Neurospora crassa OR74A: one gene and its partner. The protein of the gene in region 1 interacts with the protein of each later gene in a biochemical or structural test. Links are inferred from orthologs where the notes say so. Each region holds a gene or a part of one and is shown on either strand. Other genes may lie near its edges.

What was found. The genes of interacting proteins can lie anywhere in the genome.
Region 2: the proteins of ck-1a (region 1) and tng form a complex in vitro, tested with the Saccharomyces cerevisiae proteins (2 studies listed by BioGRID). The link is inferred for Neurospora crassa OR74A from reciprocal best matches to the Saccharomyces cerevisiae genes HRR25 and SIT4.

The regions. Positions count from the first base shown.
Region 1 is NC_026501.1:7,562,095-7,566,152, reverse strand, and holds the start of ck-1a (casein kinase I), read right to left. Parts: upstream 2,808-4,058; 5' UTR 2,692-2,807; intron 2,545-2,691; 5' UTR 2,377-2,544; intron 1,762-2,376; 5' UTR 1,716-1,761; coding exon 1,704-1,715; intron 1,613-1,703; coding exon 543-1,612; coding exon of another isoform or gene 539-542; exon of another isoform or gene 428-538; coding exon of another isoform or gene 418-427; exon of another isoform or gene 415-417; coding exon 342-414; 3' UTR 1-341. UniProt on the Saccharomyces cerevisiae protein: Protein kinase which phosphorylates serine and threonine residues. Can use casein as a substrate. Phosphorylates elongator complex member ELP1/IKI3 on 'Ser-1198' and 'Ser-1202' which promotes the tRNA modification function of the complex.
Region 2 is NC_026502.1:724,314-728,224, forward strand, and holds tng (serine/threonine-protein phosphatase ppe1), read right to left. Parts: upstream 2,743-3,911; 5' UTR 2,344-2,742; coding exon 2,196-2,343; intron 2,068-2,195; coding exon 1,671-2,067; intron 1,608-1,670; coding exon 1,178-1,607; intron 1,106-1,177; coding exon 914-1,105; 3' UTR 506-913; downstream 1-505. Other genes in the region: NCU03435 (hypothetical protein), read left to right, coding at 3,396-3,637, 3,696-3,911. UniProt on the Saccharomyces cerevisiae protein: Involved in the dephosphorylation of the large subunit of RNA polymerase II. Is required in late G1 for normal G1 cyclin expression, bud initiation and expression of certain genes that are periodically expressed during late G1.

The DNA of each region.
Region 1 (4,058 bases):
AGGAGCAAGACAGATTCGACCAAGAGTCGAACTGCACTGCCGCCATAAACCGAAGATCCGTCCGAGCCATGAATAAGGGCAGTAACTGATAGAGATGCCGAAGAACGAAGAGAAGCAATCTGTCGCAAGTAATCCGTCTGGCTGTGTAGAGGAGATGCATCGGTCGATGGTGCTGGCCAGGTACAGCCATCCGCTTCCACTCCATCCAGACGCTCGAGGGACGTTGGATGACGAAAGGCGGGTGCAGGAATCAAACCATTTGACCAATGCGCAATCTGCTACTCCAACAACCCGCCGAAGATCTTGTTCCAAGTAGATACCATGTGCGAGCAACCGCAGTCTCATTCCATAGGACGATACCTGCCGGCCACATGTCCGGAGCCAGCGCCTTGACCTTTAGCAGCCGAGCGCAGCCTATTATCGCAAACTGAACGTCAGCCATCATGTCAGCATTCTACCTCCGGCCAGCGTTATTGAGTACACCAAACTCGAAGGAAACAAGATTCCTTACTAGGAATGCTGGGCTAGGCTGGCAAACTCACATCCTGTCGCTGCCACCGACGGCACGGCTGGTCTCAGGTGTCTCGCCGGTCATGGGCTTCCTGGATCCGCTCCTCAGGGCCTGCTGAGGGTCCTTACGAGCAGCAGCCTGGGCCGCCTCCTTGGAGTCCGCAGGCTGGGGCTGGCTGGAGTTGCCAGCAGCCTGCTGGATAGCCTGGGCGTTCTTCTGGTACTTGTAGACGGTCCAGTCAAAGACGTAGTCATACTGGAAACCTTCGCGGACGAACAAGTCACGGAAGATCTTGCGGAGATAGCTGTAATCAGGCTTGTCATCGAAGCGGAGGGAACGAGTGTAGTTGAGGTAGATGGCAAACTCGTTGGGGAAGCCGCGGCAAAGAACCTCGGTAGGAGTGGTCATCTTCTTCTCCATGATGCGGTCGTACTTCTGCTTCTTGGTGGCAGCCTTAAGGCCCTGCCACGGGAGGGAGCCGCGGCAAAAGTAAAGCATGACGTAGCCAAGGGACTCCATGTCGTCACGGCGAGACTGCTCGACGCCGAGATGCGTGTTGATGGAGGCATAACGGGCAGTGCCAGTAAGGTTCTTATTCTCTCTGTAAGGAATGTGGAAGTGAGTCTTGGGATCTCTGTACTTCTTGGCAAGACCAAAATCGATCACGTTGACCTGGTTGCCACGCTTGCCAATCCCCATAAGGAAGTTGTCAGGCTTGATGTCGCGGTGGATGAACGACTTGGCATGGATGTACTCGATGCGGGAGATGAGCTGATCAGCAAGCAGCAAGACAGTCTTCAGAGAGAACTTGCGGTTGCAGAAGTTGAACAGATCCTCCAAGCTGGGGCCAAGAAGGTCGAGGACCATGGCGTTGTAGTCACACTCAGTGCCGAACCAGCGGACAAAGGGGATACCAACGCCACCGGCGAGAGACTTGTAAACGCGGGCCTCGTACTCTAGTTGAGGGTGTTTGGCCTTCACGCTCTCCAGCTTGATGGCAATCTCTTCACCGGAGATGATGTTGGTGCCGAGGTAAATGTCACCGAAAGAACCAGAGCCGATCTTGCGACCGATCCGGTACTTGTTACCGACGCGGAGATCCTAGCCTTCCAGTTAGCAGGATGCAACCTTTGACGTTGGCAACCAAAGGCCTAGGAGGCCGTGGTGATTCGGAATTGACGGATAAGCGTACCATGGTAGTCATGTTTGCGGTTAATAGGGGAGAAAGACGAATCCCAGAAGATCAGTAACTATAGCCGATAGATGTCAGTAAAAGGGCCATCAAGGTACGCATACGCAACGATGTCGAACGCTGAGCTGTCGAGAAAGGCCAGTGTCGTCCCAGGTGTTCGGGTGGGAGTCCTTGCCCGGCTCGGTCACAATAGGTTGTTCGACTGCTCCATGAAGTGGCCCATGTGTCAATGGTGACGGCAACATTTCCAGAAACCTCTGCAAACACATCCACATCGTGCATCGCCCTGGAAGACGGAGCGTCTGGACGGCGTGACAACACTGTCCATCAGGGCTATGTCGACACGGACGTGTTCAACGATGGCCTGGGCGACGCTGCCATCCTTGGGGAGCATTGTAGTGATGCCATTCCCACCATCATGCCAAGAAGGGTGTCGAGGCTATTGAAAAGCCTATCAAGTCGGTGTCGTGACCGATGGCGACGGTGTGCATCCGGGCAAACAGCGGGCAAATGCGGCCAGCGCGGGCAGATTGGTTGGCGGACGGGCCAACAATCAGCTCACCGATACATGGCGGCAGCTGAGTGGAACCACCACAATGCGTGCAGCAACCTCCCTCGCTCGCTGGGAACGACAACCCGTCTGACGGAAATGATGATGGAAGTTTTAACTCACTCTTCGGCGGGATGTGTTCTCCTTTTGTAAACGGTCGTCGCAGACCGAATGCTGTGCTCAAGGGTCGTCGAGACCAGGATGGCAATGAATAATCGAGAGGGGCGTGCGTGCCGAAGAAGGCTGCTTAAGTGATGTTGGAGCGTCGGGGGCGATGAAATGCAGCTCAATCTGTACGGGTATGTGTTAAAATGCAGTCGAGACGAAGCGTGCAGCGGCAAGCTGATGGACGCGGGCTTGGTGTTGATGTATGGTGCAGCATGCGGGGGAAGAAAAAAAACAAGAGATTGTTTTGGTGGTTGGGGTAGGTTCTCTTACCGTCGTCGTCGCCGCCGGGAAATTTTAGGTCGTCGGTGGTGAGACGGGGGGCGAGGGAAAGGACGATGTGAAGAGGGAAACGAGACAGCGAGAAGGGAGGAGGAGGCAGTTTGGTGACTGGGACCGACTGGGACTTCTGGACAGCCGACCGACCTGGGGGACTGGGGACTGGCAGGATTTGAGACGGCAACGCCAAGTGCCAGCCAGGCTCGCCAGATCGACCAGGCCCAGCCAGCGCGCGCTCTTTTGGCTTGGTTCTTGGCGGCATCCAGCTGGCGAACTGACGGGAAGTGGAGGAGCCGTGATCCACCGCCGCCATCCACAGTGTCACAGTGCGGGCCAAGCAATAAGCCGGACACAGTGCCAAGGTGAGCGAGATGGCAAAAAATGACTGGAGCTCTCTCACTGCACCGTCGGACAGCGAGCCACCTCAGGCAAGGGCCAGGCGTCCCAGGCCTGCCAGCCCAGGGCATTGGAGGGCGGAGTTTCATGTGGCTTCTGGGCGCGCCCTTTTCTCTGGCAATGTCCAACTGTCATCCAAAGATCTCCGAATGCAGGCTTGCTTTTCAAACAAACAAAATCTGCTGATTTGCAGTTCCCCAACAGGCAAGGCAAGACGCCGGCAACACCTTACGACGGCAGGATAGGATGCAGGCGGCACTGCAGTGGACATTGCGTGGGCAAGGCAAACGTGCTGCGGTAAGGTAAGGTAACCGAAAGGCTTATACTTGATGATGCGGGCAGGACCGCACCGTACCTCTACCTCTACATACCTCTATTTACGAGGGAAGGCATGATACACCGCGCCTCCCATATTACGCCCTGTGAATGTGGAAGAGGTCGGAATGAAGGCTCAGCGTTTTGTTAGGCAGAAACTGGACGGGGCCCAATAGCCAATCCAGTGCCAAAGTGCCTGCCTGCTTTCAGTTCGTTCTCTTGCTGTACGCAGTACTATTGAGAGTCTGTGCTGTATCATATTAGCTTGGTTGGCTCCCGGTCCCAAAATTAATACTAAATCTGACTGGTATACGTTACAACAGCAATTGCGACAAATACGACATCCATAACCCATCCGATATCAGCTTCGAAGAGAATTGAACGGCACTTTGATCAAGTCAGGTGCCTTCTCTGACTACTTTAGAACACTACGCAGTACACATTCTGTGACCAATGTCCCGCTTCTTCCCCGTTCACAACTGCATCATTGTGATGTTTCACTATGGAGACTATACGACAGACGGAATGCAGGAGCCCTCTTTCAAAAGATCAGACGAAGGGACCAAAACACAAGCAAGGCGCATCGTTCAACCATGGCGGGATTGACAGCTCGGTGTAGTGTACATTCTGCGTACGACAGGGCTCTGTAC
Region 2 (3,911 bases), on another chromosome or scaffold:
TAGGTAAAACCAATTAGAAGAAGAGTGCAGTGGTAGACGGACGAGTGTCCTTTGATACTACTGACTGAGATACAACGAAGTGTCTGTCTTCATAGTATATGTCTACACCTCTGCCAGCACCGCACCAGAATAATGTGGCTGATTTCAGTTGTGCTAGGTATTATAAACCCATGAAAGAAAGTAAGACAAGTACATACGACCATACCCACTGGAAAACTCGGGATCCCGTCCGCTCTCCCATAGATAAGCCAGTGAGGGCCAGACTAGTAGTTGGGTCGGTGACGACCAGCGAATCCCTGGTGTTGTATGTTTTTTTTTTCTCCTTAGTTTCCCGTCCTTTTTCTTCGTTTCCTCTTACCTTTCATGTTCGTTCATGCCCGTGACCTCGAGGGTCAGCTCTTGCACTGGCTCTGGCTATTTGTTGGATGTTGGTGACAAGAGAGGCCTTGTATTGTTGGGAGCCAATCAAGAGATCGAAACAATCACGCACAGACCACAATCTTGTGTTTTGGTTGTCTCCAGTTGCCCCTATTATTTGTGTTTAGCCAAAATCATCTTCCCTGCGACTCTCCCTTCATAGCTATCATCAAGTCCGCCACTTCGCTTTGGTGTTGGCTCCAACACTTAATGATTGAACAACGGTAAAAGCCATAACAACGGGATAGTGGTCGCTGGCACTTTCATAGCCTCATTCTGGCACTTGAAACACAAAATTGGGTAGTATAACGCCTCGGAAACGCCAAGTATAAATCCCAGGCAGAATGTCATACATGAAAATTAGGATCCTTGGAGTGGTTGCCACCAATTCCCGACGACAAAACGTGACCTGCCCATAACGCAACGACATGCTTTCTTGACAACAAGACAATCATAACACCGCCCTCTCACCTCACCTCGCGCCCTCGATGTTCTGTCATAGGAAGTAGTCACCCAGCCCCCTTCGGCCTGCGGGGATATGCCGTTGATCGTCTGGCACGGCCGAGAAGATGCTGAACTTTGTGTTTTGGTCGCGGTCCACCGTCATGATGGATGCGACGTTACCGCAACGGTAACAGTAGTTGGGTGCCGACCATACGGTTACGACCGACTTTTCGGCAAAGTGGAACTAGATGAGAAACGCAGGTTAGCTGGCATTCCTTCTCATAACTGTGGAGAGCAACAAAAAGTGATGACCCACCTTGTAACCCTCATTTACCAGCTGATGCGCTCTTGCAATGGTTGTCAAACCGTTGACGTGGTTGAACTCTGTCGCGACCTTGTCTCCGAACAGCCAACCAGCGCCACGTGGACTGACAGCCCATGTATCGACGTCTTCTGGGTCACTCCACACAAGATCGCAGAAAGCACCCTCGTGCGGAATCTCCTGAGCACGCGCAACGACGCGGATCTGGTCAATCGTGCGGATCTCGGGACTGAGACCGCCGTGGACGCAGAGAACGGTACCGTCGACAATGGCGGCAAGAACAAGAAAGTCAAACACTTGGCAGCAAGCCTTCCAGACAGAGGCGTTGCCGTACTTTTGCTGGCACTCCTCGTAGAAACCGTAGACCTGGGTGATTTGTCGGGACTCGTGATTACCGCGCACTAGAACAATGCGATCTGGGTATCTGTTGGGCGAAAAGTGTCAGCAGCGTGAACCGAACCAGAACTAGAACGGGGGGCCTTCGTACTTTGCCTTGAGACACATGAGAAGGGTAAATGTCTCTAAACTGAAGTACCCTCTATCCACGAAATCTCCGAGGAAGACGAAGCGAGTATCGGCCGATTGAGAGCCCGTGTTGGCGCTGGATTGGGGGGTCTCTTCACTTGGGGATTCCTTCTCGCTTCCAGCCCCAGCCTCACTGTCTGTACTGCTCTTGATCTTCTTCTTGAGGTTGGGATCTGTGATTTCCGTTGGGGGCTCGATGTCCTCGGATGTGATGACGGTTGTTGCGGTCTTGGGCGCCTGGACGTTTGTCTCACCGGGCATGCCACCAGCAACGCGAAAGAGTTCGAGGAGATCGTAGAATTGGCCGTGAATATCACCGCAGATGGTGACTGGCGTAACAACAGGCTGGATGTTCGATTCTGATGACGTGGGGACACAAGTCAGCTGGACAAGTTCCCTTGTCGTGCGCGCCTTGGGAACACGGGATGCGAACGCGCGCGCGCGCGCGGGCATGTGTAATCCTGACTAGTAGTTGGTGCTCAAGTACCTTCCATAAGAACTTCCTTGACAATTTCGCAGAGCTGCTTCATGACAGGCTCAGGAAGGTAATGACATTGTTTCGCCTCCTCCAGCCACTCATCTAGACCGGCTCCGGGACGAAGATTAGCCGGACCCGGCTTTGGAATCGTGGACATGATGGTTGTATATAATCGGACTCGAGCCTTTTGGTGTACGGGCTGTAGTTGCAAGATGGGCGAGCAGCGAGCAGCGGGCGAAATATCTTATCAATCGAAGGGATGCTTGTGTAAGGCTGCGATGGAACTTGGGTTCCGCAATTGTTAATGTCGCTAGATGAATCGCGGGTCGCAAGGATTCGTGATTGAAGGGTCCTGGGGCCACCAAGTGCAAGTGGGAGGGCACTGCTAGACTTAAGTTGTGTTGTCGGGTGTGTTGGGTTGTTGTTTGTTGTTGGGATGAAATTCTAAGGATGACGACGATGCCGAGCGCGGGATCTGGATGGCTGAGGTGAGGTTGAATGGATGGGGCTGGAATCAACCTCGACCTCGACCTCGAACTGTGACCGGGCGGGCAGCCTGCCACCCACCCACTGGAAACCTACTGGTACTGTGAAGGTACTGCGTGGGACCCGTGGCCAACTGCGGTTTGCCAGTGGGCGAGTGCCCTGAATGGATTGCGCTGCAGGCCAAATCACGCGCGCACATTGGCGCCGAGAGCTGCCCCCCTCAGCCGCTGTGGGTCTGTGCACTCCCTTAAAGCAAACGAAGTTCTGGATCCCCGGAATTGCGGGGCACTTGGATTGTGGATTTCTTATCGAATCCGATAAGGCTGAGCGGTAGGTACCGCCGTACCTTAAAGACCAAGCTCCACCCTTTCCACTTCACTCAGCAATCGCATCCCGTCATTGCTCTTTGGATTTGTTACCCGAAACACTCATCCAACACCGCTCGCGCCAGCCGCGCCCTCCACTCTCACCAACATCGACAGCTTGATGTAAACTGTCGTTTCTCCAAAGACGGAGTCTCCCATCACGACACGAGCCCCCGCTGGTCTCGACCACCAGTACTTAGTACGCCGACAGACAGCTCTATCAACCACCGATAGACAATCATTCCGCCAATACTGTGAGCGAAGCATGAGGCTGTGATTTCTACACTAGCTCGAGACTCCACCCAGAAACTACACATACCCCGACCATTCCAAGCCACGGTAGCTTCAAAATTCAACCATGATGGCGGCGCCCCAGCTGCTTCTGCGCAAACCTAATGGCACCGCTGCCGGCCAGGCCACCAATGATGCCCAGAACGCACCCAAGACCAAGCCTCAGTCCGAGGGCGAAAAGGTGGTTGTCCGTCGACTTCCTCCCCTGCTAACCGAAGAAGAGTTCTTCAAAATCCTCGGCGATGAATGGAAAGTCGGCCATGGCAAGGTTGACTGGTTTTCATACTGGCCTGGCAAGAGCTCCCAGCAGTAAGTACATCACCGCAGCTTCTCCCCAACGCGCTTCTCACACAATCATGTGTCACAGTCCCTCACGGCCATCTCGACCCTCCCGCGCCTATATTCACGTTATCAGGAAAGATGACCTTTTAGTGCTCTCACAAGCTGTACAGAATGGCGTTTGGGAGGACGCCAAGGAATCATACAACGACCCGGTCCTGAACCTGCCGCCCACAGTCGAGTTGTCGATTCACAAGAAGATCCCTAGCGACAAGAAAAGGGTGGATAACCGCCAAGGCACTAT